3 linked regions of the Tribolium castaneum genome follow. The protein of the gene in region 1 binds, or shares a complex with, the protein of each later gene. Links are inferred from orthologs where the notes say so. Each region holds a gene or a part of one and is shown in the gene's direction. Other genes may lie near its edges. The genes, in order: Bx42, SmD1 and Tango4.

Region 1 (3,688 bases):
TTCACCTTTTGAAGCGTCAAAATGTTTAAATTAAAGCTATAATTAATACTCAACTAAAATGTGCACTTACCAAAGAAGGGTGGAAATATTCCTGCAAATGTTCCTCCTCTGAATAAGATTGTCTTTAAATAACGAGAAACAAACCCACTAACACCATAAATCCTTACTAATACACAAACTAAACACTAAAACAGCGTTAAACAAAAATAATGCTAAACTACAAAACATGACAGGTGCTAAAAGGCGCGCCGATATTGCAGCACTACCAACGTAACAGTGTAACAGAAGTACCAACACCAAAAAAGCGCGAATTTCAATAGTAAACAGCCTTCGGTTGAATATGTTTTAGTGTTTTTAGTTCAATTTAGTGCTAGACACAGTTCTACAGCGGTTAAAAATTACAGTGTGTTATGGTGTTAGTTCCAAAATTCAAATTTCACTTTAGTGCTCTAAGGCACTTATTTATATGTTGGAGAAGTACATTTTCAAAATTAGAAGTTCACAAACACCACCAATTATTGCCAATTATCAATGGCAACCGCACGATACATGAATGTTTTTCTAAATTTTTGGAAAAATATTAAAAAATTTATTGTTTTTTGTTTATTCTACGTAAGTAAAGGGTCTGCTTGTTGAAGTAACTAGTAGCTAAAAGTCTGTGAGTGGTTGTGCATCTTTTTTTTTGGGGATACCCTCACGTTAAAAATACAGACTGATCCAGAAATACTGAGTCTGTTGGCGACACTGGACTTAAATTTTTAAGGATACTAATGGAATACGCTTCCAGTTAACAACAATTTAACATTCTTGTGGGGTTGTACGTCAAATAGTTGTCAAGAAAAATCGAATTCGGTTGCAATGTTACAAATTACAAGCACAAACACTTTCAAATGTGTTGCCAACAGACTCAGTATTTCTGGATCAGTCTGTATTTTCGAACTTATAGAACTTCGGAACAAACAATCTATGCTCAACCGCGCCCTCTACAAATCATTCCGTCTATTTGACGTTTTAGTAGTGGCGTTAATTTGGGTGTATTTATAAAACAGAATTACACACAATAATCCATTACTTAGTTGCGTTTTTTAAGTACAAATTGCTTTGAATATCGCACAGCGATAATATAATATCAAGATTTTGCGGAAATTGTTTTCCCGAAAGCCACTGTTGTGCAATCGATTTTTACATATTTTCCGATTTACTAGTGAAGTAAAACAATAAAAACTTACATTAATGAGTGCAGTGTGAATATTTTACGCTATTGTCAAGTTTTTGCTGATTTAGGAAAAGAAATGGAATTATCCAGGTAACCTAACCTCACTTTTGGGCTTGTAGAGTAAGACGCATTTATTTTGTAGTTTATTGCCCGCCCCCATACAACCCGTATGGGATCGGGACGACGAGAGACGGCAACAGAATGCCACAACTCAACGTTCCACATCTGTTGTAACAGCCCAAAGCATTGCCCCACCGTATGGACAAAGAAGGGGTTGGGTCCCACGAGTCCACACCGACTATGGAGGTAATTAGCCACCGATTTTTTGTAATTAAATTTAACTACGATGGGACCAACTTTTTTGATTGGTCCTATTAAATTTTATTACAAATAATCAGTCAAGGACGTCGAAAAGTTTTCACTATCACTGATTTTATTGCAATTTATAGATGGAGGCGCATTTCCCGAAATCCACGTGGCCCAGTACCCTCTTGACATGGGGCGAAAGGGCAAAGAATCAACTTCAAACGCCTTGGCCGTCCAATTGGACGCAGAAGGCAAAGTCAAATACGACGTAATCGCACGTCAAGGCCACGGCAAAGACAAAATCGTCTATTCAAAACTCTCCGATTTGTTACCAGTTGAAGTAACCACAGAAAATGACCCAAGTCTTGCTAAACCATCTCAGGAGGAAATCGAAGATATCACAGAAAAAACCCGTCAAGCATTACAACGCCTAACAAATTCAAAAATCGCAGCTGCAATGCCAGTCAGATGTGCCGAAAAACAAGGCCCCGCTGAATTTATTCGTTACACCCCTTCACAACAAGGGGCCGCCTTCAACTCGGGTGCCAAACAGCGCGTCATTCGTTTGGTCGAAGCACAAGTTGATCCAATGGAGCCCCCACGTTTCAAGATCAATAAGAAGATCCCAAGGGGGCCCCCTTCGCCCCCAGCGCCCGTTTTGCACAGCCCCACACGTCGTGTCACTGTTAAGGAGCAAAAGGAGTGGAAAATCCCGCCCTGTATTTCAAATTGGAAAAATGCAAAGGGTTACACAGTTCCGTTAGATAAGCGTTTAGCTGCAGATGGTCGGGGGTTGCAACAGTTGCACATCAACGAGAATTTCGCAAAGTTGGCTGAGGCTCTATATATTGCCGATAGAAAAGCACGAGAGGCTGTGGAAACACGCGCCCAACTCGAGAAAAAACTAGCTCAGAAGGAAAAGGAACAAAAGGAGGAGCATTTGAGACAGTTGGCTCAAAAAGCTCGAGATGAACGTGCTGGGATCAAAGTCGCTGATGCTAAAATCACAGATGAGGAGGAACGTGAGAGAGAAATGCTGAGACAGGACCGGCATAAGGAGCGAGCAAGAGAGAGAAACTTGGCAAGGGCTGCTCCCGATAAGCGTTCAAAGTTGAAGAGGGAGCGAGAGCGAGATATTTCCGAGCAGATTGCTTTGGGGATGCCTGCCAGAGGAGTCTCCTCAAACGAGGTGCAGTTTGATCAGAGATTATTCGGACAGGCTCAAGGTTTGGGGCATGGATATGGGGACGATGACGCGTATAATGTTTATGATAAGCCGTGGAGGGAGGGGGGCTCAATGGCCAATCACTTGTACAGACCTAGTAGGAATGTGGATAAGGAGGTATACGGTGAAGATTTGGAGAAAATCGTCAAAACGAACCGATTTGTTCCGGATAAGGAGTTTAGTGGAACTGATCGGAATGCGCCAAGGTCTGGACCTGTACAATTTGAGAAAGAGGAAGATCCGTTCGGGTTAGATCAGTTCTTGAGTCAGGCTAAACGGGCGAGCAAACGCAAGGAACCGGAGAGGAGGGATGAGAGGGATAAGCGAAAGAGAAGAGATTAAAATATTGATTGTATTTGGGTTTTTTAAATAAATACAATTGTAGAAATTTTTTGTTGTATTATTGAGCAATGGCAGCGTTTGCTGCAATACTTGGGCTGTTGATGACTTCACCCAGACTCTCCAAGAGCTCTTTGCGGTAGTCGTCGAAGTCGCCGTCTAATTCGTTTATGGTCTGGTCTTCTATTACGTACAAGGCGCAATCAGTTTCACTGTAACAAAATTAGTAATTTTTTTTTACACAAAACAATAAAATTGAGTTTTATGGTCGAGCCGAAATTGTTACAAAAACTCGATGGAATTTCATCTTAATTTAAATTAACGAACAAATTAAGTAGCTAATGCAAATTAAAAATTAAATTCACTTCTAATAGTGCTGGTAAACGCATACTTCGCAGCCTGAAATTAGGACGAAAAATATAAAATTTCTATAAAGGGAGGCGAAAAAAGAAAAGAAAGAGTACATTTATTTGCTCTTACCGTATAAGTCGTTCGTCGTGGCTCACTATAATAACCCCTCCACTGAAGTCGTTAATGGCCTCAGCTAGTGCATCAATCGATTCAATATCTAAATTATTCGTCGGTTCATCCAAAATGAGAAC
Region 2 (2,246 bases), on another chromosome or scaffold:
AGAGGTCAGAGTTGCGACCGGACCCGAGATCTTGCGAAAATGATTATTACTAGTTTTGTGTTATCTATTCTAATATTGTAATAAATAACATAAATTAATCAGTAACAAGTGTTTTTCAAATACTTTAGGTAGGGGAGAGTGGGGTTATTATGTACAGTGAATAATTATGCCCAAATTTCTGTAGGTTAACCCTCTTATCCTATAATCTAATTTTGCCCATTATAATCGTGTCCACATAATTTCAGCAATTTTGAAGCCTCACTCAAAAACTGTCAAACTAAAAACGTATCTTTCTCATGTTATAGTTATAATTTAGGCGAAAACAAGTCAAAAATTACTTTTTTTAACTTTTCAGATAAGTATTTTCTAACTTCTTATTAACATATAATTTATATAATCGACCTAATCTTAAATTTTTCTCCGCAAAATGTATTCATACAGTGGAACCCCTGTCACCCGAACGGGGATAAACCGACTCCACCAATTATTTTGTTCAATTTCAAATTTTGAATTCGAAAAATTTTTATAACACGAATTTTTGTTTAATTAATTAATTAACTAAAAACACGCAACTAATAAAAATTAAGAACAAGAACACTAGATGCACTAGAGAGAGTTGAGATTTTTAAGGTAAACACTTTGTTGGATTAGTTAAAAAAATTGCTCATATTATAATAACAGGAATCACTTGAACTCAACAAAAGTATTATTCCACTGTATTCTACAAAGATGATTTGAAGTGGCAACGGCCTATTCGGGTGATCGAAGTTCGACTGTATAAAGCAAAATATTTCATTGTTACTACGTGCCAATAGCAAGGTTATTTTGATAATAGCTGTGATAATAGTAAATAATAAAGAATTGTTTTTATTTTCAGAGTCCATAATTATCTGCAAACCTATAAAAAAAATAACGATTTAAAATTGGCGCCACGTAAGTGGCGCTCCCTTCGCAAGTTTTCTTGCCATCTCTTTCTTATATGCTCATTCTCTTTCCCTCTATGGAAGAGGGGGGGTAAAAAAACGTAAGCCAAGCGTGTTTTGCCGGCATAATATAAAAATTGTCTTAATTACACCAAAAATATCAACATGAAATTAGTAAGGTGAGAACGTAAACTACTGATTGATCAGACACGTTTTTATTTCCTTGAATTCCAAGTAAAACTCCTGAAAAACCACCTAACCTAACATTTCGGCCATTTTCAGGTTTTTAATGAAACTGAGCCATGAAACGGTCACAATGGAGCTGAAAAACGGCACACAAGTCCATGGCACTATAACCGGTGTAGATGTGGCCATGAATACGCACTTAAAAGCTGTAAAAGTGACTGTAAAGAACCGAAATCCTGTGAACTTAGACACCCTAACAGTTAGAGGAAACAACATTCGTTACTACATTTTGCCCGATAGTTTACCCCTCGAGACTCTGCTGATTGACGACACCCCCAAAGCCAAGGCCAAGAAGAAGGAGAGCGCCCGGGGGGCTGCCAGAGGCCGCGGGAGGGGCCGTGGCAGAGGGGGCCCCCGAGGCAGGGGCAGAGGGAGAGGGCGTAGATAAGAATACGTTCATTAAATTAAGTTTCGTAATTGTAAGTGTGAATCTTTTCGTTTAGTTCCAGTATTTGTAAAACTTTTATAATTCTGCTAAATTCATCAATAAAACATATTTAGGTTTAAAATGTCTTTGTTATTAAAAATCGGGACCTTGTACTAAAATGTATAAAACGTAAACTGTGAAACAAACAAAACAGAAGGCGGCTACAAATGCGAATGATTTTCGATTGTGTCTGTGGAGTTGTGAAAGTTGGTTTTCGTTTGTGGTTAAAAGTTTGCGAACTTCTCGTAACTCTTTCTTCATGTCGGCTTTTTTCTCGTTGGGGATTTCATCAGATTCGATCTTTTTTTCTAAAAGTTGGACCCTCACGTAACAGGCTTTGATTGCTTCTTCTGTTTTTGTTATCTACAAATGGTTAAATGAGTTTGGTAAAATTAACGTTTTACTGATTACCTCCTTCATGACGGAACATTCTCCTAAAGATAGCCCCATTTTTCGGGTGGTCTTAAACACTGACTATCAATACAGAAACAGATGGACTATCACTTTATTTAACCTCAATTTTTTTTATATTAATAATTATTTTACAAATTTAGGAACATTCTCTTACTTTCAATACAAAAAGTTAAAGCTAAAACATTATCACTCATTCAGATTTGAGATAAGAAATATTTTCTCAAAATCAAAATAAA
Region 3 (3,424 bases), about 5.6 Mb from region 1:
GGATTGGTATCACGGAGCCGAAAACAATCGGGGCCCCGGCAGGTTACAATTTGTGGGTGAGTCTGGACGAAGAGGTTTTTGGGAGTTTTTGGTACAAAATCAAAAACGTTGAATTCTTCCACAATGAAGTTAGAGTCAAGCTTGAAGTTGTGAGGCCAGTCAGAGAGAAGACTCCAGTTCATAATATAACTCCCACTCAGATTTTTGAAGACGTTTCTCAGAAGAATTTGGGTGAATTGGGTGCAAAATTTCAGGAGTTTTTCAAGGATCAGTTGAGGAACTTGTTTACTGAAACCTTGACTTGGCCCAACATTAAACAAGCCACCATATTTATGGTTCTTTTGTTATCAACACTGATCACTTTCTTGATACACACCATCAAGTACCTTCTAGACTATCTCCTGAAACTTTTGCGTGAAACGCAAGGACTTATCAGGGTTTGCACCCCAATTATTGTCAACTTTATGACTTTAATTTCGAATACCATTTGTGGATTTTATTCTTTATTGGCGGTTTTGTGGCGAAATCGGTCACCACCAATCAATCAATTACACATATCTCCGTATGATGTACCATATTATAGAAGTAATATGAGGGCATTACCTTACCAGGCAGGAGACTTTCAAAGGTATCGCAAATCTCGCGGATCTTCAGTCAAGATCACTCCGTTGGATTAAGTTTCTTTGCATTATATAATTCTGTTTGCATTTTTAATCACATCGCTGCAAAGTGGGGCACTAGGCAAAGCTACTTTATTGTAGTCGACTCACAATGTAAATAATTTGTGTAATATTGCTTTTATCTGGGCTCAGGAATGTTGACATTGGGACTTGTACAGATAAAAACTAGATGCGTTTTGTGGTCAAAAAACTATGTATTTTATTGTAGACTTAATAACGAAATATTTATAAGTGAAACAACTCGTATCTATTTTTATAATTGTTGAAAAATACAAATGTTAAAAAAATTGGCGTGCTTTTATTTTGTGACCAAAACTACCCAAATAAGAAATTCAATTCAATTTGGTATGGAAATTAACTATTTTTTGGTTAAAAAAAAAAAAAACTCAAACTCCCTCCACGGTTGAGTCAATAGTAGTTTCTTTTCCTGTCTATTCTACGAACCAAAAGTTACCAAATGGTGGATTTGGTGATTTTTTGCAGAGAGGTTAAGTACGATTTTGTTTATTTACCCGAAGATTAATTACTAGTATTACAATTCAGTAAATATCCGGAGTTAAATACTCGTCTTCACAATGACCGAAGACGTGCAGAGACACTCCGTACATACGTTAGTATTCCGTTCCTTGAAACGGTCTCACGACATGTTTCTCTCAAACCAGGGACTACTGCCATCAGTGGACGAAAAAGCGTGAGTAACAAACCACAAAAACAAGCAGCCCTTAATATTACGAATTAAATAGCGAAATGGTGCGAAAAGCCATAAAAGCCCGTGACTTGTACGGCCTAGTCTTTGACGACGTTAAGAAAATGCAAGCTATGAAGCACTTACGGGAGGCAGAAGCTGGGCCAAACCCCCCACCACCGGGCACACGCACTGACGACGCGGCCCCAAACACCGAGGGGGCTGTTGTACCGTACACTGACACAAGTTTGATGACACGAAGCGTCCAAAATAACACACAAAACCAGCTCGCCAATTTAATGAAAAAAGTCCCCACAATGCCAAAGCCGAAATGGCACGCCCCTTGGAAGCTATACAGGGTGATTGCGGGGCATTTGGGGTGGGTCAGGTGTGTTTCGGTGGAGCCAGGAAATGAGGTATAAAATTTTTGTTGGCAGCAAATTTGTTACCGTTTTTTTGTTAGTGGTTTGCGACCGGCGCAGCGGACCGAATAATAAAAATCTGGGACCTGGCAAGTGGGCAGTTGAAAGTGTCCCTAACTGGGCATGTGAGCACGGTCAGAGGGTTGGCTGTGAGCAGTAGACACCCTTATTTGTTCAGTTGCGGTGAAGACAGACAGGTCAAGTGTTGGGATTTGGAGTACAACAAAGTCATTAGACATTACCATGGCCATTTATCGGCTGTATACTCTCTAGCGCTTCACCCCACAATCGATGTTTTATTAACAGCAGGGCGTGATTCAACAGCCCGGGTTTGGGACATGAGGACGAAAGCAAATGTTCACACTTTGACCGGCCACACGCATACTGTAGCTAGCGTGGTGGCGCAAGCCTCCGAACCTCAAGTTATCACAGGATCTCATGATACCACAATCAGATTATGGGACCTGGCAGCTGGGAAATCAATTTGTACGCTTACCAATCACAAAAAGAGCGTTAGAGATGTGATTCTCCACCCGACTTTGTACGATTGTTTAATTATTTTTTTTGTAATTATTTTATTATTTGTAGGAACATGTTCGCGTCGGGCTCACCCGATAACATAAAACAGTGGAAATGTCCTGACGGGAAATTCATACAGAATTTGTCCGGTCATAATGCTATTGTTAATTGTCTCGCTGTCAATCCAGAAGGCGTCCTGGTTTCAGGGGGCGATAATGGAACTTTACATTTCTGGGATTGGAGGACCGGTTACAATTTCCAAAGATTACAAGTAATTTTTGTAACTTTGAAGGAAGTCAATCGATTAATGTTACATTTTTAGGCCCCAGTACAACCTGGGTCAATGGACAGTGAAGCTGGAATATTCTCAATGATTTTCGACAATTCTGGCTCAAGATTAATCACAACTGAAGCTGACAAGACCATCAAAATCTACAAAGAGGATGAAACTGCGACTGAAGAAACGCATCCGATTAACTGGAAACCCGATATTTTGAAACGGAGGAAATTCTAATTCTATGATTAAAATAATTTGTATTTTTATAAAAATAATAAATAAAATTTTATGAGCTACTAAAAAGTTTTAATTTTACCCAACTTTGCATTATTTATCAAATTTTCCGAAAATTAATCAAACCATTTGACATTTCTAGACCATTAATAATCGCAGAAGTGCACAAAACTTACGATTTTCTAGATGTAAAATCGTGAGGGTAAAGGTTAAAATGCTCTACGATAAATAATTTTTAATTTGATAAAAACAATAAATTAATTCGTTTGCGAATTTGGAATGCTTGTTACCAATCATATTTCCTCGTTCAAGTCGTAATCTTCCTCAGGGAAGTCGCCACATTCAACGTTGTGTGGCTTAACAAAGGCGCCATAATTATTAGCACATTCAAAATATTTCTTGCCTTTAAATCTGCAACAAAAGCTAGAATTTTTTTTCAACTGATGGTCGTAACTTACGTTCCATCGTTTTTGCCCAAAGGTTCGTCATACTTGACCCCTATCCAATATCCAGGTAAGGTCTCAACAGGCCCTGTGTACATCACAGTGCCAAGTCTGCAGGGAGCATTGGCTACAGTAACTTTGCATCTTGAACCAATTGGCGTGCT

What was found.
Region 2: Bx42 (region 1) and SmD1 share a complex: the UniProt entries of both Homo sapiens proteins name them as parts of the minor spliceosome. The link is inferred for Tribolium castaneum from reciprocal best matches to the Homo sapiens genes SNW1 and SNRPD1.
Region 3: Bx42 (region 1) and Tango4 share a complex: the UniProt entries of both Homo sapiens proteins name them as parts of the minor spliceosome. The link is inferred for Tribolium castaneum from reciprocal best matches to the Homo sapiens genes SNW1 and PLRG1.

The regions. Positions count from the first base shown.
Region 1 is NC_087397.1:9,848,757-9,852,444, reverse strand, and holds Bx42 (puff-specific protein Bx42), read left to right. Parts: upstream 1-984; 5' UTR 985-1,292; coding exon 1,293-1,306; intron 1,307-1,358; coding exon 1,359-1,522; intron 1,523-1,665; coding exon 1,666-3,089; 3' UTR 3,090-3,137; downstream 3,138-3,688. Other genes in the region: ATP-binding cassette sub-family F member 1, read right to left, coding at 3,148-3,298, 3,567-3,688. UniProt on the Homo sapiens protein: Involved in pre-mRNA splicing as component of the spliceosome. As a component of the minor spliceosome, involved in the splicing of U12-type introns in pre-mRNAs.
Region 2 is NC_087394.1:7,020,289-7,022,534, reverse strand, and holds SmD1 (probable small nuclear ribonucleoprotein Sm D1), read left to right. Parts: upstream 1-947; 5' UTR 948-1,088; coding exon 1,089-1,102; intron 1,103-1,205; coding exon 1,206-1,557; 3' UTR 1,558-1,678; downstream 1,679-2,246. UniProt on the Homo sapiens protein: Plays a role in pre-mRNA splicing as a core component of the spliceosomal U1, U2, U4 and U5 small nuclear ribonucleoproteins (snRNPs), the building blocks of the spliceosome.
Region 3 is NC_087397.1:4,268,857-4,272,280, reverse strand, and holds Tango4 (pleiotropic regulator 1), read left to right. Parts: upstream 1-1,059; 5' UTR 1,060-1,172; intron 1,173-1,223; 5' UTR 1,224-1,255; coding exon 1,256-1,371; intron 1,372-1,423; coding exon 1,424-1,781; intron 1,782-1,828; coding exon 1,829-2,328; intron 2,329-2,375; coding exon 2,376-2,577; intron 2,578-2,628; coding exon 2,629-2,820; 3' UTR 2,821-2,879; downstream 2,880-3,424. Other genes in the region: uncharacterized protein LOC656577, read left to right, coding at 1-677; Tbcb (tubulin-folding cofactor B), read right to left, coding at 3,111-3,228, 3,276-3,424. UniProt on the Homo sapiens protein: Involved in pre-mRNA splicing as component of the spliceosome. Component of the PRP19-CDC5L complex that forms an integral part of the spliceosome and is required for activating pre-mRNA splicing.